Mus musculus: one gene and its partners. The main gene of each other region encodes a partner of the protein of the gene in region 3 in a complex. Links are inferred from orthologs where the notes say so. Each region holds a gene or a part of one and is shown on either strand. Other genes may lie near its edges.

Region 1 (4,379 bases), on a different chromosome or scaffold from region 3:
GAACGCGGGTGCCCTTGCATTTGGAGCATAAATGTTCAGAATTAAGGGTTCTTCTTAGTAGATATTTCCTTTGATGAGTATGAAGTGTCCTTCCTTATCTTTTTTGATGACTTTTGGTTGAAAGTCAATTTTATCCTATATTAGAATGTCTACTCCAATTTGTTTCTTGGGACCATTTGATTGGAAAATTATTCTCAGCCCTTTATTCTGACATAGTGTTTGTCTTTGACACTGAGGTGTGTTTCCTATATGCAGCAAAATGTTGGGCCCAGTTTACATATCCAGTCTGTTAGTCTATGTCTTTTTATTGGGGGGATTGAGTCCATTGATGTTAAGAGAAATTAAGGAATAGTGATTGCTGCTTCCTATTATTTTTTATGTTATTTTTATGTTTGTGTGGTTATCTTCTTTTGGGTGTGTTGAAAGGAGATTACTTTCTTGCTTTTTCTAGGGTGCAGTTTCCCTCCTTGTGTGGGTGTTTTCCATCTATTATCCTTTATAGAGCTAGATTTGTGGAAAGACACTGTGTACATTTTGTTTTGCCATGGAATATCTTTGTTTCTCCATCTATGGTAATTGAGGGTGTTGCTGTAATAGTAGTCAGGGCTGCTATTTGTGGTCTCTTAGGGTCTGTATGACATCTGCCCAGGATCTTCCAGCTTTCATAGTCTCTGCTGAGAAGTCTGGTGTAATTCTGATAGGTATGACTTTGCATGTTACTTCACCCTTTTTCCTTACTGCTTTTAATATTCTTTTGTTTGTTTGTTTGTTTAGTGCATTTGGTATTTTGATTATTATGTGATGGGAGGAATTTCTTTTCTGGTCCAATTTATTTGGAGTTCTGTAGGCTTCTTGTATGTTCATGGGCATCAAATTCTTTAGGTTAGGAAAGTTTTCTTGTTTAATTTTGTTGAGGATATTTACTGACCATTTAAGTTGGGAATCTTCACTCTCTTCTATACCTGTTATCCTTAGATTTGGTCTTGTCATTGTGTCCTGGATTTCCTGGATATTTTGGGTTAGGAGCTTTTTGCAATTTGCATTTTCCTTGACTGTTGTTTCAATGTTTTCTATGGTATCCTCTGCACCTGAGATCTGCATCTGGTATGTCTTAAGACAGAGACAGTGAACTCATCATATACATAAAATAAGTAAATCTGAAGAAGAAGAGGAGGAGGGGAGGGGAGGAGGAGGAGGAGAAGGAGGAGGAGGAGGGGGAGGAGGGAAGGGACGAGAAGAAGAGGAAGAGAAGGAGGAGGAGGAAGAGGAAGGGGAGGGGAGAGGAGGGGGAAGGGGATGAGAAGAAAAAGAAGAAGAGGAAGAAGGAGGGGGAGGAGGAGGAAGGGGGAGGGGGAGGAGGAGAAGAAAACCAAATTTAAGAGTATTAAATTATAGTGATTTATTTTTACATAGGATCCACTAGGGGGCGATACAGACCATTCATAGATTCTGCAGCCAAGCCACACCTACATTTAGCAGAAAACCATTTTGCAGTGGAGCACAACTCTTAATTCGACTTTTCACAACCCACCCCGCGCGCGCTTGCCACTGCGCAGGCGTGAGTGTGCGCACTCCATTGGTCGGGGTGCCGGAAGGGGCGGATTCCTGAGTGGAACCCAGGCTTCCTGCCGGGGCTGCTGGCTGCCGTTCCTTCCTCAGTCGCGGTTCTTGGCGTGCGGCGCGGCTAGGCGATGCCCAGCAGTGGGGTGCACGCCGATGGCCGCGCCGCGCCGGGGCCCCCACACACATCGACTGCGCACGCCGAGTCCCTTAGCAGCAAGGTGCCGTGGGACGCCGGGGAAGGGTGGTGGGCGGCGGGCCCCGCTGTGCCCTGTAGCCTCCGCCGTGCATTCTCAGCACCAGCAGCTGATTCCCCTCCATCCTGCAGGTTTGCGACGATGGAGGCGTGTCCCCTGAAAAAAAGTGACACACAGATGTGTTGCTCAGTCACACACAGATCTGTTGCTCTGTGGCTGTGCTTCATCCAGTTAGCCACGCACCCGCCTGGGTGCCATCCATGACGTCCATCATAAAAGTTTAGAAGTCTGTACCTGTTCTTCCAGACTCAGGCAAAAGCTTCTTAGCCGATTTTCTCAGCTGCCTGTTACCTTAAAATATATTCTCAACTTTAAGTGATCCTAAAAACATCTGTTTGGTCATCTCTTTATTATTCAACAAGAGAAAGGAGCACCCTATCAAATTAATTTTTTTCTATACCTTTAGGATAGGATTTCATAAATAACTCAGGCCAGCCTCAGATATTATTGCTTAGGCATTACTTGAATAATTCTCTTGCCTAATAGCCAGGATTTCAGGGAGGCAACCCCATACCGGAACTAGTCCTAACTTCCAGTTACAGACGAAAATCTTTAAACGTGTAGAGTGGAAGGGTGTGGGTATAGTCTTTTCAGATATTAAACATTCCTAAATTCTGTATTTTTTCTGTCCTATATGATATCTTCAGTACATTGCCTAATTCCCGCTGTACCACAGTGTACTGTGGTGTCACCTAAAGTGACACCTGTCATTCCTGTAATGAGCATAAAAACACTGTACAAGCAGACTTGAATCTCAAGGAAAGCGTACTCAATATGGCTTTGTAGGTTATTAGTACAGCTCTCAGGACTTAATAGACTATTTGCCTAGCTTAACGATACCAGCAATATGCAGTCCTTAATACTTGAAATAGAATGATACAGTGGTGGAAAATCATGTTGGATCAGTGCAGGTAGGGCATTCAGTACCATAGTACCATTTCATTTGTTTTATCCGAATGTCTGGCTGTCATCTAGTGCATACATCATAAAACCATTGGTTGTTGGTAAAGAGGAGAACCCACATTCATTTTATTTCTCTCTTTTTGTCTACAGCAAGACCTTATAAAACTAAAAGATTGGGTTTTTGTTGTTTTCGGGAGAGGTTTTGTTTGTTTTTGGTTCTTTTGTTTGGTTGTTTTTTGTTTTTTTCAAGACAGGGTTTCTCTGTGTAGCTCTGGCTGTCACAGAACTCAGTCTGTAGACCAGGCTGGCCTCGAACTCAGAAATCTGCCTGCCTCTGCCTCTCAAGTGCTGAGATTAAAGGCGTGCGCCACCACTGCCTGGCTTAAAAGATTGGTATTAATTTGGGTAGGCAGTGGCTCACCCTGGTTAAAGATGTGAGCTGTGGTAACTGACCCCTGGCAAGCCTATGCTTCTCCTTCTCAAGCTGTCTTCTACTGATTCCAGACTGAGTGCTGTTGATTTGTTCAGTGTCCATTTAGACAGGCAGTCCATTATAGCCCCCAACCCCATCTTTAGTTTTAAAGCAGTGACTTAAAATGTTCTCGCTAAACATACTTTGAAATCTTCCACTTTAGATTTTTTTCTTTACTTTAATAGATTAAAGAACAGAAAATTATTGTGGATGAACTTTCTAATCTAAAGAAGAATCGGGTGAGTTGCTGTGGAAATCTGAATAGTATATTAAAATTATGATTTCGATTATTTATGCTAACATTACAAAATTCAAAGATCATAATTTAAAAGCTAACGTGGTATCCTAGTTTGTTTTTGCATGTTTTAAATTTGTTTTTCCTGTATATGTCAATAGATCTCAAAGATAAAAAAATATTTATTATATTTTAACAAAAAAGAATGAAGTTTTTCACAGAAAACTTTACTATTCTAAATACTTAACCCATTTAATGCCTTTTTTATGAATATGTTCAGAAATCAGCTGCGATTATGTAATGACTGACATTCTTGACATTTCTGATATTGTCATTTGGGATATATTAGATGCTAAGGCAAATTAATACAAATTTTTGGAGATCAAACTGTCAAAATGTGTAAATGCTGTTTGACACTTCTGAGTAACTGGTGTGTAAGCAGTTGTGAGGGTGCATGTGTGTTTACACGTAGAGGCGCTCATCAGCACCTGTAGTGACGATACAGTAAGTGTCTGAAGCTTGAGGCCAGCAAAGAACTATAGTGTTGTACCCATATGGTCAGAAAAGGTCTCCATGTATTATTCATTTATGAAGTAAATTATAAATCTGTGGCTATGATAGCTTTTGTTACTGAAAGTGTGTGGTATGATGATGCATGCTAAGTAAACAACCAGTTCTGGGTGGCGTAGTATTCAGTGGCTTTGTTTCTCTGTGGTAATTACTGTTCTGAATATTCCTGAAGTTCAAGAATAAATGATAACAGGATCCTGTTCAGCATCAGTGTGCATGTCATACCCTGATCTTGTCAATTTCGTTTGCAGAGAGTATACAAGCAGCAACAGAACAGCAACATATTCTTTCTTGAAGATCGAACAAAAATCTTTTCTGAAAGCAAAAGTGAGTGGTGGTCGTCTTGGTTTTTGTTTTCAGAGTTATATATGGAATGCTACAG
Region 2 (3,670 bases), on a different chromosome or scaffold from region 3:
GCACTGTCTGGGGCCATGCCATGGGAAGGACAGAGTTGTCCCTCTGCGAATTATAAAGTTTCTTTTCCTTATCTTCATTCTTTAACCTTCTCATCGTGAAAAGAGACAGTCTGTTAGAAATACTAAGACCTGTTTAGAGGGGGAGAACAGGGTGAGAGACCAAAACAACTTTAGTCATTTTCAAATTGAAATGTGCAGTGTATTTAATCTTCCTTTATCTCTCTGGTATTTTCTTCCCAAGATATATGCATGTGGGAAGGAATGCGGCATTAGCTGGCATTCTTTTCGTATCTGATTCCCAGTGTCCTGTACAGTGTTGCTCACTGTTTAATGGATGAGCATAATACTTGATATCAAGCAGTAAATCACCCACCTACAAAAGAGTCTGAGCAGCTCCCTCTGTCTCCAGTTAATCTGCTGGATTTGCCCTTTATCGGGAAGTGCATACAGTTACGGGTGTTGGGGACTCTGGAGAAAGTATCGGGTATCTGTGACCCGCCGGTAGCTTCCTTCTCTTGGCAGAGGGTAGTGGGCACACTGGGTTGGGCACATGGGGGGATTGTCAGGGAGGCTGTCGTTGTTAGGCTGCAGTTGGGACCCGACCCTCTATCTCACTGAGCTCTGCCATTTGAGGGCTGGGCAGTGAAAACCCACACAGCATTCACTGTCTCTCTGTCTACAGAGGCAAGGCAGGTGTGACACCTATGCCACAGAGTTTGACCTTGAAGCTGAAGAGTACGTCCCTTTGCCAAAGGGAGATGTGCACAAGAAGAAGGAAATCATACAGGATGTGACCTTGCATGACCTGGATGTGGCTAATGCGCGGCCTCAGGTACTGCTGTGCTGCTGTGGGAGGAGCTCTCGGGCAGCCTTTTGTCTCTGCCTGGAAGCTCTGGGGATGAATCGGCAAGGTCTTGCTGCCACTTTGGAGGCAGGCGCTCCTTTTCTCTCTGTGATGTTCGGCAATTAACATGGGCATGAGCTACGCAGCACTCCTTTGTTCCCATTCTAGTGCACCAGTCACAGATGATTTCCTGGGCTATTTCTTCTTGCAGCCAAGCCTCCCGCCCTGAGCTAGCCAACTTCCTCCCTGGCTTCTCTCCAGCAGTGACTTGTGCCTGGATGCTCTAGGTATTGCTGACAGGAGGGCATGAGTGCTGTGTGAACCCTCACAGGGTTTCTGAAAGCCTCGCACAACTGTGACCTCCCTCCACTTAGCAGAGCCTTGCCACCTTTAGCTTTGAGCTGGACCCAAGCCCGCAACTCTGGAGGGACAGTAAATATTTAGACCTTGACTGATAACTGTAGGAAAGGATGTCATTCCATAGCCACAATTCTGAGGGACATGATTCAAAGAACCAAAGTACACAAATTCCTTACTGGTGGCCTTTCAGGTTACATTTATCTTCATCCTCCCTAGGCCACCTCTGCAGCAGCAGTGGAGAATGGGCCCATCGAGGCTTTGTTCAAGAGATTGTTGACATCAGTCCTAGACCAGCAAGTGCCTTTAGGAGGTAGATGTCTGTCTCCAAACTGACCTCAGAAGCCTCTGCTTTAGGCAGAGTGTGGGGACAGAGTGTCAGCAGAGCAGCTTCCTAACAGGAGGGGCCTCGCAGGAAGATGGCACAGACAGCCAGAGCTTTGAGTCATAGCTTTGGTCCTTTGTGCATAATCCAGGAGTAACAAATTTTAAAAGATAAAGTGGGAGAAGAGGTCACCCTGTTCACTCTACTCCCAATGGAAAGAGTTTGTTTGATTCCTAGAGGTCTGGAGCCTGTGAAGTTCCTCTGTGTTTAGAAGCTTATCAAGGAAGCTGGGCATGATGCCACCCACATGCCTTAATCCCAGCAGGAGGCAGAGGCAGGTGGAGCTTTGAGTTCAAGGCTGCCTGGTCTACAGTGCAAGTTCATGGACAGCCAGGGCTACACAGAGAAACCCTGTCTAAAAAAATGTACATACATGAAAACACATACATGAAAATATAAACTTTCCAGGGGGCTTGTGTTGGCATCTCCAAGTGAGTTGACATTGGAGACCAGTAGGAAGCAGGGGAATTAGGTTTGGTAGCCTCCTTAGACAGCATGGTCATTCAGTCTTCTCTGGCTGACTGAGTCTTCTCTTTTCCAGGGTGGGCAAGATATTCTGTCTATGATGGGCCAGTTGATGAAGCCAAAAAAGACAGAGATCACAGGTAAGAGCTGGTGATCTGCCTGCCCCCAGAGCCTACAGTAGATCAGGACCCTGGGTGCCAAACCCAGTGGCTGTATGTGCTCCTCTAAGTAAAATAAGCGTGGTGATGGTGTCTTCCCTCCTCTGAGATCACAGCTTAAACCTTGTCATCTGTGCTCTGTTTAGACAGTAGTGTGCTCTCTGGTCCTGGGCACCTAGAGTTTCTGGTCCCTTTGGGGTCCTAGGGATGTTGAGAAGTGGAGCGAACTCTGCTGCCATGGCAGCACCACCTTCTTCCCTCTGCCCTGCTCTGGTGTGGCCTTTATACTCTTCCCACCTCTGTTATCGTTTCCTAGCAACCTGTAGGTTGGTGACTGTGTGTGAAGCATGAAGTCTCTGTGATCTTGGAGGTCTCAGCTGGACGAGCAGCTGAGACGGTTCTTCCAGATCCCAAGAGCAGCTGTGTCTGGATTTTGCCTGGCTTTGTGTGGCTGATGAGACAGGGTTTCACTGGTTAGTCTAGGATCACCTTGACTAAGAGATGCTGCATTTCCTCCTCAGCCTTCCTAGTTCTGGGGTCACAGGTGTGTGTGCTGCATGCAGCAGCAACCACTGTAGTCTTTTGCCCTGAATTTGCTCTTTGTTCTCAGGCAATTCTTACTGGTAGATTTGGTAGAAGAGGTAGCAACTCCAGCAGATCTTACAGTTCTGTTTATGACCAGACCCTACTGCTGCGGTTAAGACTGGGCTGTGACTCGTGGTGGCCTATTTGACTATGGATAACATCTTGTAAGGCCTGAAACCATCTTCCTGTTTGGAGAGGACTGAGACTGCGTGTGATTGAAGGCAACGTCACACAGGGCCATAAGACAGGGTCATTCACAGAGCACAACATAGGAATATTTGCATATGAAAACTCCTGTCGTCCCAGGCTCCCAAATCTGCTAGACTTGAGTTCTAGTGGGAGCTGGACATCGGGTTGGGAGGATGAGCAATAAGGCAGGGTGGGGCGTGTGAGGAGGTCATGGCCTTCCTGTGCACAACCCACTTGGGGTTAGCCAAACAACTTTAGGGAAAGCTGCCAGTTCTGTGGCCTTTAGGTGTGTTTGTTCCTGTTTTAGATGATGTAACTGAAGCTGGAATGGGGCCAGGGCCTGCTGGGGCCTCACAGTTGGGGAAACAGGTGTAGGGTGGGTTTGGGTGGAAGTCCGAGCTCAGAGCGGGAGCTATTTGCTGGTGCTGACCCTGCCATCCCACATCTAGATAAACTTCGAGGGGAGATCAACAAAGTGGTGAACAAATACATTGACCAGGGTGTGGCCGAGCTGGTCCCTGGAGTGCTTTTTGTCGATGAGGTCCACATGCTGGATATCGAGTGCTTTACCTACCTGCACCGAGCCCTGGAGTCCTCCATCGCCCCCATTGTCATCTTTGCATCCAACCGAGGCAACTGTGTCATCAGGTAGGGCCTCACGCCTGCTCCAAGGCTTCCCACCTTCCT
Region 3 (3,520 bases):
CTCCCTGTTCGAGAGTAATTCAGTCTGTAGGGTCCGAACTGTCTTAGATTCAGGTCAAAGTGCTAGAAAGGGTGAAGTGTCCGTGAGACAACGAACTCACAAACCCCATCCCACCCCCAGCCCCATCCCGAGTCTCCAGGCTCCTCTCCCAGCCTGGGCTCACCTTGGCAGCACTGGCGATGTCCACAGCCTCCACGATGTCTGTCTGCAGGATTTTTGCCGTGTCTTCCCCATCTTCTCCTACCAGAAACCTAAAAGGCAGTTAGGATGACGACGGTGACGGTCCCCACCATGCAGCGGGCATACAAACATAAAAACGCAGAGAGACAGGACAGCGGGGAAAGCCCAGGTCGGGGTCCACTCACCCAGGTTCCTCTGCAAGCAGCAGCTCAGCGCGGGCGGCTCTGACGCTTGCCTCTTCCTCTTGCGCTTCAGCCTTCTCGAGTTTGCTTTGAGTTTTAGGCTTCGAATGTGGGAGCTACGGCATTGTTGACAGGGTTGCAAGAACCGAAGAGCATATGTGGGGGTCCCAGGAAAACCACTGGGGAAGCCGCCACCACCTCATCCAAACCCTCGGCCTCCAATCCCTCTGACAGCCCGCCGGTCCTCACCGTTTTGGACTTGTCAATTCGACAAAACTTCCGGGCCTCCTCCAGGGGGGCGGGGACGGGTCCTGGGAACGGGTCCTGAGCCTGGCGAGGACAAGGAGGCAGGAGGCAGATTCTGATGGATCCGGTTCCTCTCGATCTCCGGGGACGACCTGCACCGCCACCCTGTCAACCCCAGGCTCACCCCCGACAGCGTCCTCTGAGGCTTCTTCCAGTCTGGAGCGGTCTTTGAGATCGGGGGCTTCTTGGAGAACCGGGACTTCTGGGCGATGTGCGCGCTCTTGGACCTCGGGGGTCGCGACTCCCCAGTCCTCGCCTTCTTCCGAGGCGGCCCCGGGGAGGTGGCGACGGCGGCCGGGGTGGTCTCCTCCTCCCAGTAGCGCCGCGGTTTCTAAGGGGCAGAGGAAAAGCCTTCGCACACGCTGCCCGAGCCTGGGCCCGGGACGCGGACACCTCCCACCAAAGCTACCTTCCTCTTGGCCTGAGGCTTGTCTCTCTTGGGTGGGACACCCCTACCCGGCTTGGGGGCTGTCTCCATCTCCAAGACCGAACAACGATCCACGTGCGAAACTCCCTTGAGTAGTAGCTCGGCGGTCTAGGAAAACTTCCGGAAGTCCCCCCCTTCATCCAATCAGCGCCGTACCGGCGTCTGAAGCCTCCGGCGCCATGTTAAGTGAGGGCATGCCTCTGTGAGCCCGGGAGGATCGCCCGAGGAGCAGCTTATAACCAAATAAAGATTTAAAAAGCATGTATGAGCCCCGAATCTTGTTAACTATGAGCTTAGATTTTTCCATATTAACTTTTCTGTCTTGCCCAAAACCTCTCGAGCCGAGTCTTTTAGGTCGAACGAGCCTCACACAAGTCAGAACTACATGTTCCAGCATGTATCGGAATGTAACTTCCGGCGCCGTCTTTTTCTCTCCCGTCATGCCTTGTTTACTTCCGGGTTTATTGATTACAGCGGGTAGAGCGTGAAGAGGTTAGCGTTTGGCTTGGAGGGTTCGGGGATCTCTTCTTTCGCTCTCCTTTGCCTAGGGAGTGGCTATTCTGGACGAAAAGAGGCTGCGGCGCCTCGGAGAGTTGCGGGTAGAAAGTGCTGTCCTTCTGCAGGGTCAGGGAGGGGGGATTCAGGTGCCTCCCAGAGCTTGAGACCCAGCGACCCCCGCCCAGGAGGCTTTCTCCTTCACCATGGCTGAACTGATCCAAAAGAAGCTGCAGGGAGAGGTAGAGAAATATCAACAGCTGCAGAAGGGTAAGAGAGGGAGTTGGTGTGGTCTCGCTCCTGTCCGCTCTCATCTATGATGAAGCGTCGCGCCCCATTGGGGGCTGCGGGGGTGCATCTTGTTACCCCTCGCCTCGGTATCGTCGCTTTCTTCCTCACACCCAGTCTCCCCAGAATTGCGCGGTTCTGGGCCCATTTGATGTTTTTAATCGTGCATTTCCTCTCTCCACCCCAGACTTGAGTAAATCTATGTCAGGGAGGCAGAAGCTCGAAGCACAGCTAACGGAAAACAATATCGTGAAGGAGGTGAGGATGGGACGCGGGGGTGGGGGGCGAGGAGGGACTCTCCTGGGCACGATCATCTCATTCACTGCCTCATCCCCTTCTCAGGAGCTGGCCCTGCTGGATGGATCCAACGTGGTCTTTAAGCTTCTGGGACCCGTGCTTGTCAAACAGGAGCTGGGGGAGGCTCGGGCCACAGTAGGGAAGAGGCTAGACTACATCACAGCAGAAATGTAAGTCCTGCGGATGGCGTTTTCAGTGCACAAGTGTTAAACCCGTGCTGGATAGTTCTCCACTTACCCATTTCTGTAAAGTCCTGGCTGCCCTGGAACTCGCTCTGTAGACGGGGCTGACCTGACACAGATGCGCCTGCTGCCGCCTCCTAAAGGATGGGATTAAAGGCATGTGGCACCACTCCTGGCCTTTCTTGCTGTGTGACATCTGGTGAGGGCACTTGTCAAAGGACAACCTGCGGGAATGTTTGCCTCCCTACTGTGGGGTTCTGTAGCTTGAATTCAGGTGCCAGCCTTGGAGGACAGCAGCCCTCTCTTCCCCTTAGTGCCATCCCCGCTTTCTGTCCCACAAACCTCCAGTCTTCCACCATATCATTGAGCCCTGGCTGATATCTCCTCTCCGTTTGCCTCCCTTTGCCCTCCTCAGCAAGCGCTACGAATCACAGCTTCGGGACCTCGAGCGGCAGTCAGAGCAACAGAGGGAAACCCTTGCTCAACTGCAGCAGGAGTTTCAGCGGGCCCAAGCTGCAAAGGCTCCTGGGAAAGCCTGACCCCGTGGGAGGGGGTCAGGAGGGAGGGATGAGGCTAACCCTGAGCCAATAAAATGTAAACAGAACCAAGCCTACTTTACAGCCAGTCTTTCTTCACTGTACTTCCATTCCCGTACACTTTTACACCTCTTGAGATTCACGGTCTTGTGACTGAAATCTCTCAGTGGCCGGATTCTGTTTTGCTTTCCTGTGGCTGAGAACTGTGCCCAGGGTGTTTCCTTGGGTCCCTTCAGTTTCAAAACTTTAGTCTGAAACGTCTCAAGCTATTTCTTGCCTGTACATACAACCCTTTGACTTCCCTACGTTGGTTGGCGTAACCGGGAGACACGGGAGAAGACACTGTCTACAGTGCAGCATGTTGTTCGTTGCCATAGAACTCAGTTCTCTGGCCTGAGAGCCCAGGAAATGACAGTCACTCACGGTGAGCACTTGTCTCCCCAAGCAGCCCTAGCCCTAGACTGTTACCTGATTTCCCCGTCTATCTTCTCAGGGTTGGTTTGAATGTAACTTTTTTTGGTTTTGGAGACAGGGTTTCCCTGTGTAGTCCTGGAACTCACTCTGTAGTGAGGCTGGCCTCGAACTCAGAAATCCGCCTGCCTCTGCCTCCCGAGTGCTGGGTTTAAA
Region 4 (4,117 bases), on a different chromosome or scaffold from region 3:
GTAACATCAAATTTTGGTTTTGGTTTGGGGGACAAGGTTTCTCTGTAGCCCTCATCATGGACTGCATGCCACCAAGCAGAAATTCATTCAAGATAAATTTCTTAAAATTTGTCTCCATTTAAACATTTTTATGTGCTCTTATTCATTCCCTTTATGGAGGGTGAAAACCAAACAATGTGTGCAACATATATTTTTTTCAAACAGATCCCCACAGGATATACTGCCTTCCTTATAGATTAGTACCATAATCCTTGCTGGTCTATAGGCACTCTTGTGCTTTTAAAATTATTAAATGCTTAAGTGGTCTCAGTGAGTTCTTTTGGTTTTGATTTGGTTTGTTTGTTTTAAAGAGAATATGAAATTGGAGGAAAATGTGGTAGGAGGAGTCTAGGAGGAGTTGGAGGGAAAAGGGAGTGGAGATGATGAAAATATATTGCATACATCTATGAAACTCTCAAAGAATAGAAATGTTTCTAAAAGAAAAAAATAGGGACTATATAGATACCTCAGTAGTTAAGAGCACTGGCCAGTCTTATAGAGGACCCAGGTTCGATTCCCATTACCCACATGGTGCACACAAACTGTTGGTTGCTCCAGTTCCAGGGAATCCCACAACTTCTTCTGGCCTTTGTGGGCAATGCACGCATGTAGTCCATAAACATGCAGACAAAACACATAAAATAGGAAAACAAATGTAAGAGTAAGGAGGGGGGAATACAGAAATGGCTCATCAGTTAAAAACACATAAAACTTGCAGAGAATGTAAACTCCATTATCAGCACCCACATCATGGTAGCTCACAACTGCCTATAAGTTCAGTACCAACGCGCGCGCGCACACACACACACACTTCAAATTACTAATTATAAACACTTAACTCCCTCTCCCTACCTTCCTGTAAGTCCACCCTCCCTCAGAACCCGCCAAATCTCATTGAACGTCACCCAAACCAGTCTCCCGCCAGCTCGCGACGATCCGCCTGCTGGCAGACCGCGGCGTGCCAGGCCCATCTAGATCCATAGGATCCTGCTACCTCCAAGGATTCACTCAGGCCCCGCCTGCAGCCCTTCCCCTAAGTGCATCTTCCCACACGCCGGACCGCCCCTCCCATCGATTTGGTTGGCTCCCTTGCTGGAAATTACATCATCCATCCGCGCCACCCGGAAGCCGCGGCTCATACTAACAGTTATTGCCGGTGGCCCTACGGTAAACGCCGTACTCCTGTACCGGTGAGTGAACGAGTTCCAAAATCGGGTTGGGCAGAAGCAACTCCGTAGCTCGAGCCGAAAGAAGTCATCCCCAACGTTGAGTGGCTGGAGAGAATTTTGTGAAGTTTAAATAGAGCGCTCAACGTGCCCCCCCCTTTACTCCCCCAGGTGCCCGTCATGGCGACGCCCCCGAAACGGCGGGCCTTGGATACGGTGGGGGAGAAAGTGCTGCGGTACGAGACCTTTATCAGTGACGTACTGCAGCGAGACTTGCAGTGAGTGACAACGTGGGAGGCGTGACGTTTGAGAAATTTCACGTGGTGGGTGGGACAGAATGCCGACCAAACTTTCGGATTGGCCGCCCAGACTTCTGGGAATAGGGTTGACTTCTGGGCTGAGATGTGGTTGGAACTTGTCCCTTTAGCAGAGCTCTGACCTTGTTTGTTGGTTTAAAATAGTCATTCCGAACACAGGGTGTTTCTGACTAGGCCATTTAACCAATATTTATGAACAAGTTGTACCTTACTTCACCTTTGTGAACTTTATTCATCTGTGAAATGGAAAAGTTTATTAGGCCTTCTTAACGTGGTGTTTGAGTTTTAAATGTGTCAACTCCGGCACTTGGGAGCCAGAAGCAGGAGGATCTTTGTAAAGCTGAGAACCAGTCTGGGCTACAGACTAACTTTCTCAAAGGGAGAAAAAAATAGAATAAAGCCAGGCTCAAGCTCCATGGTGTGTGCCACTTCTAGTGGAGAGATGGGAAAATTCACTTGTTTAGCCAGGATTACAAGCCAGCCTTGAAAATAGAACAATATTCTATTTTAAAAAAAATCCAGTGTGGTGACACAGGCCTGCAATTGCTGTACTTGGGATAGTGTCAGGAGCAGGATGACCCAGAGTTGAAGGTGATCTTCACCTACATTCGAGGTTGTGTATAGCCTGGGCTTTGAGATTATGTCTCAAAACAAGCAAACTAGGGCCAGCAAGATGGCTTGCCTCCAACCCCATGCCCTAAGTTAGATCTCTGGGACCCACATGGTGGAAGAAAGAAAGACTCCCAAAAACCTGACCTCTGACCTCCAGGTATGTATCATGGCACCCATACATGTACACAAAATAAACACATAAATGCAAGTAAGAACACATTTTAAAAATGCAGATAAACCCCACTATTATTATATTGAGGCTGAGAGGAAAGAATTGTTTGGTGTGTTTACAAATTCAATACTTAGCCTGAGAAACTCAGATATTGTCTTGGGTAATAAAACAAATAACCTAAATAGTTGTTTTAGGAAAGGAATTTGACCCCAGTGCCTGAAATACACTAAAGACTCAACAACTGGATGATTGCTATTGCTGTCATTACTAATCTGAATAGAAAGTTAGGTATTTAGAACTAGGACTGTGTGAGCATGCTAAAAGAGATGGAGAGGTACATTTAGGGTGAAGATGGGACATTTTAATTGGCATAAGTCACTGAATAAAATGTAATATTTATAATTATAATAGGTAACAAGTATATAATGCTTACCATTTGGCTAGCATTTAAAACACTTTGTAGTAAACACTCGATTCTAATGACTCTTATGTGCTACTACGGCCATCTCTGTTTTCTATGTGAAGAAACTTAATCCTAGGTAGGTTTTCTACTTTCCATAGTCACATTCCTAGTAAGAGGTAGAGGTCAGGCTGAACTACAGTCTGACCTGTATTTATTGAAATGCCTGCTGTGTCTCTGTCTATACCCCATTGTGTGTGTTTTGGAGGAGGGGAGCACGGGATCTCACGATGTAGCACAAGCTGGTCTTGAGCTCAGAATCCTCCTGCCTCAGCCCATGAATTACATCCATGTCAACCACAACCTGACTTAAAATGCCTGGCATCTCAAGAGGAATAAGGCTGCCTAATGTTCACTGTTGTATTTCTACATATCAGAAAGGTGCTGGATCATCGAGACAAGGTATATGAGCAGCTGTCCGTATATCTTCAACTAAGAAATGTCATTGAGCGACTCCAGGTAAAGGTTTTTAAATTGGGTACCACTTTGTGTATGTGTACAAAGAAGGGAGGCGGGAAGAAACCCCAAGAACAAAACCTTATCTGCCTTTAAAATTGCCCGCTGACACCTACCTCTTTTCTCCTGGCCCTATAGGAAACTAATCACTCGGAGTTATATATGCAGGTGGATTTGGGCTGTAACTTCTTCGTTGACACAGTGGTGTGAGTATATTCTCTCCCCTCCTGAGTTTCTCCCTTTTTTCATGGAACAAGTATTTCTTAGTATTTTCTATATACAAGGCTCTAGTAGCTTTTATATTTCATTAGGATATGAGCAACATGTTGTGGGTGTGGCCAAAATGAACACAAAGTATCTGCCTTTACAGAGCCTTCATTTTGAGAAACAGGAAGGAATAGGAAACACCTTAAACCATACAGTGTGCTAAATAGTAATAAAGACTTCTTCCACTTCCTCTGACCTCTTTCCTCAGCCCAGATACTTCACGCATCTATGTGGCCCTGGGATATGGTTTTTTCCTGGAACTGACACTGGCTGAAGCACTCAAGTTCATTGACCGAAAGAGTTCTCTCCTCACAGAGTGAGTGCATTCCAAGAGGATAGTATCTAAAGCCACTACATTGGCTAAGGGTACAGGGAAGTGGTAAGAACATTTGCTTAGCATGTGTGAAGCCCTAGGTTCTATCCATATCACACATCACACAAACACATACACAAAATATATAAAAGCCAGATATGGTAGTTCACACCTGTAATCCCAGGATTCTAGAGAATCAAGCAGGAGGATCATGAATTTGAAGCAACTCTGGGTGATAAAACAAATCTCTGTGTATAAAACAAACAGAAAAAATAATAAATAGACATCACAAATTTTAATACTCTACCCTTTTCC
Region 5 (3,574 bases), on a different chromosome or scaffold from region 3:
ATGTTCTTAGCATTACTTTCTCTCTTGTGAAAGCAGTGGTTTTTAAACTGTCTCCCCAGTGTCACTCCCACTGCATAGTACAGACAGGGCACTCAGGCTTGGTCTGCATGGTGGCCTCTGGGTGGCTATGGTACCAAGTCTTTTGTGGATGTGTTAAATGAGCTTTTGTAACTGTTGCTTACAGCCCTTTCTGTGGTACACACATTGCCCATTGGTGTCTGGCCATCCAAATTTCAGAAAGAATTACAACAAAAGATTATGGAGAGCCCCAAGTCAGTCCAACCTATAGCATTCATATTAAAAGAGAAGCACAGGCAGATGCTGAAAAGAGGTGCTGTGTGGAAGTTTGCAGGAAAAGTCACCGTTGCCCGAGGATGAAATTCTGCCTTTACTCGTGTAAGGTCAATATTGGAAAGTCCTAAGTGCTGCTTCAGCCATCAGCTGAGAAATAAAAGTCACTGAAGCTTACATATAAAAATCCACCCGTGAACGCCAAGCTTTCACTCTTACCCCTTTGCTCCTGTCTTTTAGTGAATACCCAACTCAGCGGTCAAAGAAAGATTCCGAGGGCTTGGAGATGGGAGTCGCAGGTTCCGTCAGCCTTCTGCAGAACGTGACCGTGTCTACTCAGCCCATCTCCAGTTTGGACTGGAGTCCTGACAAAAGGGGGCTCTGCGTCTGTAGTTCATTTGACCAGATGGTGCGTGTGCTGATAGTTACAAAGCTCCAGACCATTTGACTCAGACTTTACACTTGACATTGTCCAGAGGGTTGCTCACAGAACTGTAACTTGATCTGTGTTCTGCATCCTCTGGCCCCATTGAAGACGGTTGGATTTGAGTGATGAGTGACAGCCATGGGCACAAAGCCAGCCAGCCAGCCTCTAGCATCTTTGGGTGTTTGCTGGCCTGACCAGCATGCTGCTGCACGTGAAGGCCCCACACACCAGCACCAGCTTTGTTCCTTTTCCCCATGTTTCTACTCAGAAACATTAGGGCCAGGAGTTGTGGTGCCAGCTACTTAACAAGCTGAGGCAGGAGGATCAATGTAGTCCATAAGATCAAGACTAGCTTGGGCAGCATAGTGAGACTCTGCCTTTAAATATAGTTGGATGAGACCCAAGTTTGATCATCAGTATCTCTATCAGGTGACTTATAATTCCTGTAAGTCCAGTTGCAGGGCATCTCATACCATTTTCTGGCTGTATTGGGCAGTGGTACCCACAGACACATGCACATTCTTAGAAATTAAAAAAAAATTGTTTTTAAATTAAAAAAAAATGTAAAGCCAAAGTCAGTAGTTGTTATTTAAGTGTATTTAAGTCTGTTCTGTATCTGCATAGCTCTGTGCTTTCTCTGTACACTGTGCTCCTACTCGGAGTCACTTCACTTGCTCTGTAAAGCTCCAGAAGAACACGGTTCGACTAGCCAGCCTGGAGAACTGTTTTCAGCAGTGTAACTGGTAAAATACTGTGACTTCCAGCTGTCTCTCGTTTACTCAGATACCAGCCTTAGTTGTCTTTTGACTGTGGTAAGTGATGACGAGCCGTTGAAGATTGAATTTGTTTTTAAACCTTTTTGTCAAACCTTTAAAATATATATTTTAAAATAAACAGGTTTTTAAAATATTTGGAGGCGTTGATTCTTTCCCTTTGTTCCCTTCTTCCTCCTTGTTAAGTGCACCTTAGTTTCACTGGCCCACATCATAAGCTGAGCCTCCGGAAGGACTGGATTAATCATACCTGCAATAAACCTTGTGTCTCCCAGCTCAGTTCAAAGGGGCAGAGACATATAATATTCATATTTACAAAACCAATGAGCTCTATTCCCAACATGCTTTTATAGAACAGTGCTGTGGAGGGTTAAGTGCTTGCTATGAAGGAGGAACGCCTGAGTTCTGAGGACTCATAGTAAGGTGGAAAGAGACAGCCACTCAGCCCTGACCACTGACATATGTGCACAGCATGCTCACATACACATACAAAGCACATCTAAAAGGAACGGAGTTGTAAGTATAATATAATAAAAATAAAATTGATCTTTAAAAAGGCCGCTTGGATTTTTCTCCCAATGTTCAAAAAAGAAAAAAATAGAAAATATATGAGAATCTGGCTTCGAGTATTTGTTATTGATGATAGAGAAAGGTTTAACTAGAACAATTAATTTATTTCATGAAGTCTAAGATGTCAGTTGTAGAATTACCTTGTACTGAAGAATGAAAAATTACTGGCCTCTTGTAAGAACATGAACTTTTTACCTCGGAGCCCACCCCCTCCCATCTGAAAAACATTTTTGAGATAAAGGCCTCCTGGAACAACCTCAAAATGAACCGGGTACATTGCCAAATGATAGGACATGACTCCTTAGTTACGTAGATTCCTTGATAGGACATGACTCCTTAGTTACGTAGATTCCTTTGGCAGAACTCCCTAGTGATGTAAACTTGTACTTTCCCTGCCCAGTTCTCCCCCTTTGAGTTTTACTATATAAGCCTGTGAAAAATTTTGGCTGACCGTCGATTCTCCTCTACACCACTAGGTGTATGAGTTTCGACCCCAGAGCTCTGGTCTGTGTGCTTTCATGTTGCTGCTTTATTTCGACCCCAGAGCTCTGGTCTGTGTGCTTTCATGTCGCTGCTTTATTAAATCTTACCTTCTACATTTTATGTATGGTCTCAGTGTCTTCTTGGGTACGCGGCTGTCCCGGGACTTGAGTGCCTGAGTAAGGGTCTCACTTCGGGGGTCTTTCAGTACCACAGAGGAAGAACAAGCTGTCATCAATGACGTTGCTGCCGTGCGTTCTTATCAGCTAGTATTTGGTTTGTACTATTTTATTTTGGTACCGGGTATATTTTGTTTATGTTTTGAACCCAGACTGGCCTTGAACTCTTTATCATCTCACTCTGCCTCAAGTGTGCGCCACTATACGCGGTTCCCTCAGATTTCTCTGTAACCCTGGCTGTGCTGGAACTTGCTGTGTAAATGTTTCTGTCTCTCAAGCGCTAGGATTAAAGGTGTGTGCCACCCCCCCTGGCTTTGGCTTCCTACTTCTTAATCTCCAGAATCTGACCCTTGAACTCACCGTAAAATTTTTGCTTATTTCTTTTAAAACTATTTCTTAGTGTTTTCTAAATTTCTTTTAAACTCCGAGTCATTAGTAGTCATGCTTACGGTACTGTGTTCTGTAAATAGCATGTTGGTGATGGGGCTGGAGAGATGACTCTAAGAGTCCTGTTGTTCCTCCAGAAGACCAATTTGGCTTCCCATCATACACCTCAGACAGCTTACAACCTCCTGTAACTCTAGCTGTAGGGAATCCAACAGCTCTGGCCTCTGCAGCCATCCACACACGTGACATATACTCACACACACACACACACACACACACACACACACACACACACACAGAGATTACTGAAAATTAAAAACAAAATAAAAATAAATTGTATTAGCGTGGTGGTTTGAATGACAATGATCCCCATAGGCTTGTATATTTGAGTCAAAAAGGAGCCACTGTTTGAAAAAATTAGGAGGTGTGGCCTTGTTGGAGTAGGTTTGGCCTGTTGGAGGAGGTTG
Region 6 (4,452 bases), on a different chromosome or scaffold from region 3:
GAAACCGCCCAAGGACAGCCAGATTCCACATTCCCTGGGGGGGGGGGGGGACACGACACACACAACTCTACCCCCTCTGTGGCAATCCAGGAACACTGCTCAACAGGGAGTTCTACACACACAACCCCCCCCCCCCCAAACCCTACCCTTGTACCTGGCAAGCTGGCTATATTGGCCCAAAAGATCCCCATTCAGTGGTTCGGACAGGAGTAATGTCTCGGCAGGGTTTCGTGCAATAAAGTCAAATGCCTCAGGCAGAAAGGCCAGGCAAGCACCCAGTCTGGCAGCCTCTTGAACCAACTCAGCACATGTTTTAAAGTTCTCTTGCTTGTTTGGTGTTGATGTTACCTGGCACACAGCCACCAGGGGCAGCTCCCAGGAAGTTGATGAGGACATGGTTCTGGGCCTGTGAATGACACAGGCAGTATCCTCAGATTTTCTATCTAGGAGAAACTCAGAGGCTCAAGTGGGGGTGGAGCCAGAAACTTTATTTTCTTTTGACTTTTTTCTTTTTTGAGACACGGTCTTTTGTAGCCCAGACAGGCCTTTCTATGTAACTGGGGATGACCTTAAACTCCTGGTTGATCCTCCTTTTTTTCGAGTGCTGGCATTACAGGTGACCCCAGCAACTTGTTTTCATTCTTACAGAGCATAATAACCCTAGAGCTACTGGAGTTCACTCATTACATGTTTGGAGATATCTTTGTCTCCCACTATGAAGTTAATAAACACGAACTAAGCAGCTATGCGCCAGAGAGAGAACATTACGAAATATGTTACCTGGGCTGAGTACAAAGTACTGGGGTTCGAAGTAATCGGTATCCGGTACACAGGAGTTGGTGAGGAGGCCTGGTGATGAAGCCCAGCCTGAAGAAGGTGAGAAATCAGGACACCTAACCCTCTTTCAAGCCGTAAGTTTCTAGAATTCTCTGCCATTTCCAGGCCTGGCCAGTAATCCCCTCCCCCAAGGCTTCGAAAATACTTTTTACTACTAGTAGCTAGGAAAAGATATAAAATGGGAAAATGGGAGAGGCGACTATGATCGGTGCCTTAATACCTCAACTTCCAGTGATCTCACATTAAAACTGAAGCCCTTTTTCCTTTGCCAAACGTTTCCGCAGTTCAAGTCATCTCATGGAACCTTCCTCGTTTCCCCAATTCTCTTCTCGGCTGTGCCACCTGCACAGCTTTATAGACTCAACACGTATCTTTCCCCTTATACCCGAATCTCAGAAGGAAAGTTCACCCTCCCTAGATCTCCACCATCTCATGGTGGGTAGATGGGTACAGGACCAGATCCCAACCCGAGCCCCCGCCCTCTGATTAGCGCGTCCTTCCCCGCCTCTCCCCCCCGGGCAAGAATCTCTGTTGCACAAGTTAAAGCATCGCAGGTGGAATTCACCGCAGCGGGCAGGGTTTGGGAGTAGGTCCTACATGAAGACACAGCCAAAACCATTCACGGGGTCGGATCTCAAGAGCTGCCAGGAGCCAGGAGCGCAGGAGCAAGTGGGCGGTAACCCCCCGGCCGGATGTGACGCAGTGAGAGTGCGCAGGCCGGAAAGCTTGCAGGTGGGGAAGATGGCGGACAGCAGCGGTCGTGTGGGCAAGAGCGGCGGGAGCGGCGCGGGGAAGGGGGCGGTGTCGGCGGAACAGGTGAGGAGCCGCGAGCGCACAAGGCACCCGGGGCGGTGTCGAATTCGTGTAGAAGATAAGATTTGTGGCTCGAAGGGGCCTTTAGTCCTTTCCACGGTCTCCATGGGCACGCACGGGGGAGAGGGGGTCTCTGGAGGTGATCACGAACCTTTCTAGAGCCTGGGTAGGTAGGGGAGAGGCACGCCCGCGGTGTGGGTGGGTAGTCAAGGGAGAAAGCCCTGAGCTGCAGGGTCTGGGAGGGTTGGCCAGGTCTCTGAGAAGATGGATCGTAGTTTGCCCCCTCTCCGAGGTACCCTAAAGAGCGTATGGTGTTTGGCGTGGCATCTAGTAACGAATTCCAAGCTGTTCTTAGTCAGTGAGTGGCTTATGTAGTTCATGGCTCAAAAACCGTGTTCACCATCACCAACACGCTGCAGAGCCACGTGACTCAGACTCTGAGCAGTTTAGTGTTCCGTAAATTATTTTGACTAAGGAGTCTGTGGTTTGTTTGTTTGTTTGTTTTGTCTTGGAGGTGGGGATGAGGGTTGCTATAGGGTCGGGTCCGGCCTTGGCTTTTCCGGAATTCACTTTGTAGACCAAACTGGCCTGGAAGATCCGCTTGCCTCTGCCTCCCACATACTGCGATTAAAGGCTCGGATTATTTCGTCTTTGAGACACGGTCTTACTAAGTGGCCTACGCTGGCCTCGAGCTTGCTCGGTGTGCTCTCTTTGCAAAGATTGACTTCGGAAGAGGGCAGAACCCACCCCCCACCCCCTCTCTCTTTCTCTTTCTCTCTTTCTCTCTTTCTCTCTCTCTCTCTCTCTCTCTCTCTCTCTCTCTCTCTCTCTCTCTCTCTCTTTCTTTCTTTCTTTCTTTCTTTCTTTCTTTCTTTCTTTCTTTCTTTCTTTCATGTGTGAGTACACTGTAGCTGTCTTCAGACACTCCAGAAGATGGAGTCCGATCTCATTACGGATGGTTGTGAGCCACCATGTGGTTGCTGGGATTTGAACTTTGGAAGAGCAGTCGGTGCTCTTAACAGCTGAGCCATCTCACCAGCCCCAGAAGAGTAATTTTAATCATAGGTACATTTGTCAGTTGGTTGTTGAACAATTCCTACAGGTAAAAGCATCAGCATAAAGAGTCTAAAACCCACACTGTCAAAGAGTTAGAAAGTAAGTGTTCAGGGAGAACTGAAGTGCAGGGGAATTCTGGAGATGGAAGAGGGTGTAGCCTCTGACATAGTGGGAAGGAAAAAATGCTAATGCTTTGGAGAGTCCGTCTTGTGTTTGGCTTTGCTTAACCCAGAGGAACAGGTAAATGAAATAGACCTTGTCTTAAACTTGGTCACAGCCAAGTGTGGTGGCCCATACCCATAATCCCCCTGGATTACCCTGTCAGTTCCAGGCTAGCCTGGGTTACAGAGTAAAACACAGTCTCAAAAACAAAACAATGAGACTTTATGTGTGTTTGCATGTGTATGTGCATATACCACATGTGTGCAGGAGCCCTCAGAGACCAGAAGAGTGGTCAAAACCTCTGATAACTGCCTATTAGCTACCATGAGGGTGCTGAGAACCAAACCCAGGTCCTCCGCTATAAAAGTAATCGTTCTTCCACCGAGCCATTTCTCCAACCCTACACTACAAACTTCTGCACATAATGAACTTTTCTTGCACAGTTTGGAGAGAGAGTCCAAAGTAGTGTAGATTTCGGATGTGGCAGGTAAGTAGGCAAGGGAATGGCGGGTAGTGGAATGGTTGGGAGGGTTTCCTGGCCTAGAATCAGAATGACCTGTGCTTGCTTTGTATTTCTTATTTATATATGATTTCTCTTGTTACCTTTTACCCTCGTCTATCTGTAAAAGCACAGTAGTTTTCCATTTCGTAACTAGAGTACTAGGCAAGAAAATCCATTTGGGTTTTGTTTTGTTTTGTTTTTTTCCACCATGACTAAATACAGAGACTACATAGTGTGTTTAACAAATGCTACTTAGAGCTGGAGAGATGGCCTCTGCACTCGAGCACCTGATCTCGCACAGACAGACACACTTGCACGCACATAATCTGAACAGTCTTTCTAAATGCTAATTTCCTTTTATTTTCTAGATTTTTTGGCTTAATTCTAAAGGCTGGGAAAAGTTAGTCATGTGAAGATTTTTTTTCGTTAGAAGTAGTGTGTTCAAAAGCATTGAGCCATGAACTGCTTGGCATTGAAAATGCTGGAGAATTTAAAGAGATATATTGCAAGACCTAAAGAGATACAGTCAACTTTGTTCTTTGACACAGGGTTTTTCACGTGGCCTAGAACTCACCAGGTAGGCTAGGATGGCTGACCAGAGAGTCCATTGATCCTCCCTTTCCTCAGCACTGGGAAAACAAGCCTCAGAATTTAAGTTCACTAGCATTCCAGTGCCAGGCAGTTCATGCCTCAGTACCATGCCTGCCTGCCTGCCTGCCTTTTTTTTCCCTCCTCCTCCTCCTCCTCCTCCTCCTCTTCCTCCTCCTCTTCTTTTTTCTCCTCCTCCTCCTCCTCTTCCTTCTTAAAAAGTGTGTTCTGGGGCTCAAACCCTGGTTCTTTGGCTCTTTACCTGTGAAATTTTCTTCCCAGCCCAATTTAAGGTTTATTACTGATGTGTGTGTTAGCCTAGTGTGTCTCTCACAAGGAAAATAGGAGCAGGTAATACTTCGTACTAGGTGCTTGTTTTATTTTCTGTTCTTTATCATTTATTGGTTTACTATTGTTGTTTTGTCTGAGATAGGCTCTCCCTCTGGAACTTGCTGTGTAGACCGTGCTACTTTAGGCCTTGCTATTCTTGGCTT
Region 7 (4,199 bases), on a different chromosome or scaffold from region 3:
CTTGGTCTACAGGGTAGATGGTGGGCTCAGTGTACTTGGCAAAAACTTGTCTTTCCCAGTTGGGATCAGCCTAAGTTCTCAGGCAGGAACTGGTGATGATCTGTAGATGAGCTGTCAGACGCACATCAGGACAGAATGGAGGCATCTGGACTTCCAAGGACAGACCTTGCCAGTCTTGGTGGCACACGCCTTTAATCCCAACACTGAGAGGCAGAGGCAGGCCATTCTCTGCGCTGTTGAGACCTGGTCTCTATACCAAATTTCAAGTCAGCACACTCCCCCAAAGAAAAGGAGAGGGCTGGTGAGATGGCTCAGTGGGTAAGAGCACCCGACTGCTTTTCTGAAGGTCCGAAGTTCAAATCCCAGCAACCACATGGTGGCTCATAACCACCCATAATGAGATCTGACTCCCTCTTCTGGAGTGTCTGAAGACAGCTACAGTGTACTTTCATGTAATAAATAAATAAATAAATAAATAAACAAATAAGAAAGAAAGAAAAGGAGAAAGGGGCGTTCCTGTGAACTCCCATTGTATAGTTGGAAGGGTTTAGCCCTGGAATCCCTTTCCCTAGGATTCATTTTCTCACCACCTTCTCAAACTTTTCACGAGTTAGCCCACCATATACACACTTGTTTGTTCATTGTGTGTATGCCCGCACATCGATTGTTTTCATTTTAGATTTTTAGTCGTTTAACTATGTTTATCTGTGTGTCTGCATGTGGGTATAGACCTGTAAGTGTGGCCCTTGGAGGCCAGAGGCATCAGACTCTCTGGAGCTGGAGTTACAAATGGCTGGGGGCCACCTCATGTGGGTGCTTGCATCCGATTTCTCATGTAAAGTGCAGATACACTAATAAAAACTTGTATAAAAAGGGAAATTGAGGCACATGAACCTGGCTGTTCATCACTGGTCTCTTGCTTTCTTTCGAGACAGGGTTTTCTCTGTAGACCTGGCTATAGAGCAGGCTGGCCTCGAACTCACAGATCTGCTTGCCGAGGACGGGGATTAAAGGCGTGGACTACAGCCCGGGAGACGCCTAAGGGAGGGAAATAAAACTGTTATCAGGTCAAGTATCGCGAGATCTTCCCGACGCGCGACACCGCCCCGGTGAAGGCTGGGGCTGCCCAACGCGCAGCCTGTCGTGGAAAGTAGGTTTATTCCGGCGTTCACCTTAGACAGCACGAACCTGGGCGGGGGCCTTCCCAGCCCTTGGCGCAGGCGCACTGCCGGGGGGCGGGGGGCATTTTGTGCGTCCGGCGCAGGCTCCGTGCTGGCAGCTCCACGAGCGCGCGTGCACAGTTGTTTGGGAAGCGCGACAGCATGGACGACGAGGAGGAGACCTACCGGCTGTGGAAGATCCGCAAGACGATCATGCAGGTGATCAAGCGTGAGGAGCTTTATGCGAGCGAGCGTTCAGTTGCGGACTAACTGCGGGTTGTCCGCCGAGGCCCGCCTCCCGCAGGGGCCAATCCTCCTGGATTGGAATGCATCCCCGTTTAAAGTGTGGAGCCCACCCACGCTGGCTTCAACTCTTAGAAATCCTACTGCTTCCACCTCCTAACTCTGCCTCAGGGGAAAAGGCCTGGGTGGGCTCCGTTTCGGGAGAGGGGGCTGCTGCGTGGTCACACTTGGTTTTATGCGAGCTAGGTAGCCGCCCACACGAAAGCTATCAACCATCTGTAACCCCAGTTCCAGGGGATCTGACGCCCTGTCCTGATCTCTGGGGACTCCAGACACACATAGGATGAAAAAACAGTATTTTTAAAAACAGAACAAGCCGGTATGATGGTACACGCCTTTAATCCCAGCACTCTGGAGGCAGAAGCAAGCGAATCTCTTTAAATTAGAAGTCAGCCTCATCTACATAGTGATTTCCAGAATAGACAAAGTCACGCAGAGAAACCCTGTCTTGAAAAAGAAAAAGGGAATAAAAGAAAAAATTCTTGGTTGTTTTGAGTTGAACACATGAGACACCATTATTAGATAAAGAGGTATGCATAGTTTTGACTTATGCTGTGTTGGTGGAGCCCAGGGCCACCTCATGCCTGTTCCTCAGCCCTGATCCTGGATGATGCTCTAGTCTCCCTCATCAGGAACACTCAAGACTGGGGACAGGAAGGTGCCTGTATTCAGAAGGTTGCCTACAGTTGCCAGGGGATTAATCCCAGCCTGCTCCACTGAGGTTGGGGGGAGGAGAGGCTTGGCCGGGCCGCTGTGGTCTGAGCCTATACAGAGTTTGGGTACTGCTGGATCAGTTCAGTGTTAGTCCCCAGCCTCGGCCATTCAGGGTCAGGTCTGCGAGCTAAGTGCTCAGGCTGACTGCCTCTTTGCCTCTTGTCTCTGCAGCTGTGTCATGACCGTGGCTACCTGGTGACCCAGGATGAACTGGACCAGACACTTGAGGAATTCAAGGCGCAGTTTGGGGACAAGCCCAGCGAAGGACGGCCAAGGCGCACAGACCTCACGGTGCTGGTGGCCCACAACGATGACCCCACAGACCAGATGTTTGTGTTCTTCCCAGGTGAGGCCCTTGGGCTGGCAGGAGTGGTCTCCTCCAGGCCCTGGCTCAGGTGCCAGTGAATGCATGTCCCACTCTGGCCTAACGCTGCCTGTAAGATTGTGGCAGCTGCCTGCTTTTGTCCCTGTCTCCCCTGGGAAGCCTCCCTTTTGCTGGTGTCGTTTTCATCCCATAAGCCCCAGAACCAGCTCTCAGCCCTCCACCCCCTGGCTCCTATATGCTGTATTCTATAGCTTCTGCCTGGGAGTCCCAGGGCCAGCTATGCCACCCCCACACCCCCTGTGTGCTGTATTCTACAGCTTCTGCCAGCAGCGCAGGTGTCTTGTGGGAGTGAAGGCTATTGGGGAGCCCAGGACCTCCCTGTGCAGCTACATTCAGTCTCCCCAGACAGCTTGCCTCTTTTAATACCTAATGCTTTGTGGCCCCGGGACCTGGTTTTTAGTGTGAGAATTGGGGGGTGCGGGGATGGGCATGGTAGCATATGCCTGTAAGCCCAGTGTTTGAGAGGCAGAGGCAGGCAGTCGAGGCCAGCCTGGTCTATACAATGACTTCCGGGACAACTATGGAGGGCATTGGTTCTCAGCCTTCCTGATGCTGGGACCCCTTAGTACACTTCACATTGTGACCTCCAACCATAAAATCTTCATTGCTAATTCATAACTAATTTTGCTACTATTATGAGTCATAATGTAAATATACCTGTGTTTATCCAGCAATTTGCAAACTAGGTGGCCTGGGTCTGCTCCTGCGCTCTGCCTGAGGAGACAAGGCTAGCCTCATGTAGACACAGGGTCCATCTCTTGGTCAGTCAGTTTCTCCTTGAGGCTGTCTAAGCTGACAGTACCATATCCCCCAAACCCCAGAGCTGCTGAGAGCCCCCACCCCCGTTCCAGGGGGGCCGCAGTTCCTGCATACCCTGCAGCTTCTGCAGTGATAGCTGAGCCCCCTGGCAGCCCCATCATGGCTGCCTTGATGTTCTAGTCTTCCCTTGCAAGCAGAGAAACTAAGACCACAGGCTCCAGTAGTGAGTGTGAGGGTGGTGCTTGTGTGCCCGCAGAGGAGCCCAAGGTGGGCATCAAGACCATCAAGGTATACTGCCAGCGCATGCAGGAGGAAAACATCACACGGGCGCTGATTGTGGTGCAGCAGGGCATGACGCCCTCCGCCAAGCAGTCCCTGGTGGACATGGCCCCGAAGTATGTGCTGGAACAGTTTCTACAGCAGGAGCTGCTCATCAATATCACAGAGCACGAGGTGTGTGTGGTGGGGTGGGGCGTAGTGCTGCCTGCATCCAGGACACGGGCCGGGGCGGGGTGCTTCCCCGGTTTTGGCCCTGAGCATCCAACTTGGTGATATTAATAGCCTGGTTTTGTCCTCTGTCCCAGCCCCATGACAATACCCATTAGTCTGTTGGTCTGTTGAAGTTCCTGATGGCCGCGTGCCTGTGGGTGGGTCTCTGTCTCCACAGCTAGTCCCTGAGCACGTGGTCATGACAAAGGAGGAGGTGACTGAACTGCTGGCTCGATAGTATCCTTTACTCTGTCCCCACACCCCCCTCACCCCAGCGCTGCCCGCCAGCTGCTTCCTTGACTGTTCTAGCAAGCTTCGTGAGAGCCAGCTACCCAGAATCCAGGCCGGGGACCCAGTGGCACGGTACTTTGGGATCAAGCGAGGGCAGG

The links.
Region 1: Pfdn6 (region 3) and Asdurf share a complex: the UniProt entries of both Homo sapiens proteins name them as parts of the PAQosome complex. The link is inferred for Mus musculus from reciprocal best matches to the Homo sapiens genes PFDN6 and ASDURF.
Region 2: Pfdn6 (region 3) and Ruvbl1 share a complex: the UniProt entries of both Homo sapiens proteins name them as parts of the PAQosome complex. The link is inferred for Mus musculus from reciprocal best matches to the Homo sapiens genes PFDN6 and RUVBL1.
Region 4: Pfdn6 (region 3) and Uxt share a complex: the UniProt entries of both Homo sapiens proteins name them as parts of the PAQosome complex. The link is inferred for Mus musculus from reciprocal best matches to the Homo sapiens genes PFDN6 and UXT.
Region 5: Pfdn6 (region 3) and Wdr92 share a complex: the UniProt entries of both Homo sapiens proteins name them as parts of the PAQosome complex. The link is inferred for Mus musculus from reciprocal best matches to the Homo sapiens genes PFDN6 and DNAAF10.
Region 6: Pfdn6 (region 3) and Pfdn2 share a complex: the UniProt entries of both Homo sapiens proteins name them as parts of the PAQosome complex. The link is inferred for Mus musculus from reciprocal best matches to the Homo sapiens genes PFDN6 and PFDN2.
Region 7: Pfdn6 (region 3) and Polr2e share a complex: the UniProt entries of both Homo sapiens proteins name them as parts of the PAQosome complex. The link is inferred for Mus musculus from reciprocal best matches to the Homo sapiens genes PFDN6 and POLR2E.

What each region holds. Positions count from the first base shown.
Region 1 is NC_000067.6:53,349,932-53,354,310, reverse strand, and holds the start of Asdurf (ASNSD1 upstream open reading frame protein), read left to right. Parts: upstream 1-1,558; 5' UTR 1,559-1,691; coding exon 1,692-1,781; intron 1,782-3,377; coding exon 3,378-3,431; intron 3,432-4,248; coding exon 4,249-4,324; intron 4,325-4,379.
Region 2 is NC_000072.6:88,482,281-88,485,950, forward strand, and holds part of Ruvbl1 (ruvB-like 1), read left to right. Parts: intron 1-682; coding exon 683-832; intron 833-2,127; coding exon 2,128-2,191; intron 2,192-3,432; coding exon 3,433-3,631; intron 3,632-3,670. UniProt on the Homo sapiens protein: Possesses single-stranded DNA-stimulated ATPase and ATP-dependent DNA helicase (3' to 5') activity; hexamerization is thought to be critical for ATP hydrolysis and adjacent subunits in the ring-like structure contribute to the ATPase activity.
Region 3 is NC_000083.6:33,938,364-33,941,883, reverse strand, and holds Pfdn6 (prefoldin subunit 6), read left to right. Parts: upstream 1-1,540; 5' UTR 1,541-1,796; coding exon 1,797-1,860; intron 1,861-2,065; coding exon 2,066-2,136; intron 2,137-2,220; coding exon 2,221-2,345; intron 2,346-2,772; coding exon 2,773-2,896; 3' UTR 2,897-2,975; downstream 2,976-3,520. Other genes in the region: Wdr46 (WD repeat-containing protein 46), read right to left, coding at 1-62, 164-251, 366-478, 612-692, 793-999, 1,125-1,235. UniProt on the Homo sapiens protein: Binds specifically to cytosolic chaperonin (c-CPN) and transfers target proteins to it. Binds to nascent polypeptide chain and promotes folding in an environment in which there are many competing pathways for nonnative proteins.
Region 4 is NC_000086.7:20,959,046-20,963,162, reverse strand, and holds the start of Uxt (protein UXT), read left to right. Parts: upstream 1-1,184; 5' UTR 1,185-1,229; exon of another isoform or gene 1,230-1,313; intron 1,314-1,376; 5' UTR 1,377-1,385; coding exon 1,386-1,483; exon of another isoform or gene 1,484-1,487; intron 1,488-3,143; coding exon 3,144-3,225; intron 3,226-3,360; coding exon 3,361-3,428; intron 3,429-3,697; coding exon 3,698-3,805; intron 3,806-4,117. UniProt on the Homo sapiens protein: Involved in gene transcription regulation. Acts in concert with the corepressor URI1 to regulate androgen receptor AR-mediated transcription. Together with URI1, associates with chromatin to the NKX3-1 promoter region.
Region 5 is NC_000077.6:17,232,176-17,235,749, forward strand, and holds the end of Wdr92 (WD repeat-containing protein 92), read left to right. Parts: intron 1-531; coding exon 532-739; 3' UTR 740-3,025; downstream 3,026-3,574. UniProt on the Homo sapiens protein: Key assembly factor specifically required for the stability of axonemal dynein heavy chains in cytoplasm.
Region 6 is NC_000067.6:171,344,134-171,348,585, forward strand, and holds the start of Pfdn2 (prefoldin subunit 2), read left to right. Parts: upstream 1-1,541; 5' UTR 1,542-1,578; coding exon 1,579-1,653; intron 1,654-4,452. Other genes in the region: Nit1 (deaminated glutathione amidase), read right to left, coding at 1-34, 155-406, 781-867, 1,435-1,436. UniProt on the Homo sapiens protein: Binds specifically to cytosolic chaperonin (c-CPN) and transfers target proteins to it. Binds to nascent polypeptide chain and promotes folding in an environment in which there are many competing pathways for nonnative proteins.
Region 7 is NC_000076.6:80,036,763-80,040,961, reverse strand, and holds the start of Polr2e (DNA-directed RNA polymerases I, II, and III subunit RPABC1), read left to right. Parts: upstream 1-1,302; 5' UTR 1,303-1,322; coding exon 1,323-1,379; intron 1,380-2,348; coding exon 2,349-2,523; intron 2,524-3,577; coding exon 3,578-3,774; intron 3,775-3,988; coding exon 3,989-4,047; intron 4,048-4,119; coding exon 4,120-4,198; intron 4,199-4,199. UniProt on the Homo sapiens protein: DNA-dependent RNA polymerase catalyzes the transcription of DNA into RNA using the four ribonucleoside triphosphates as substrates.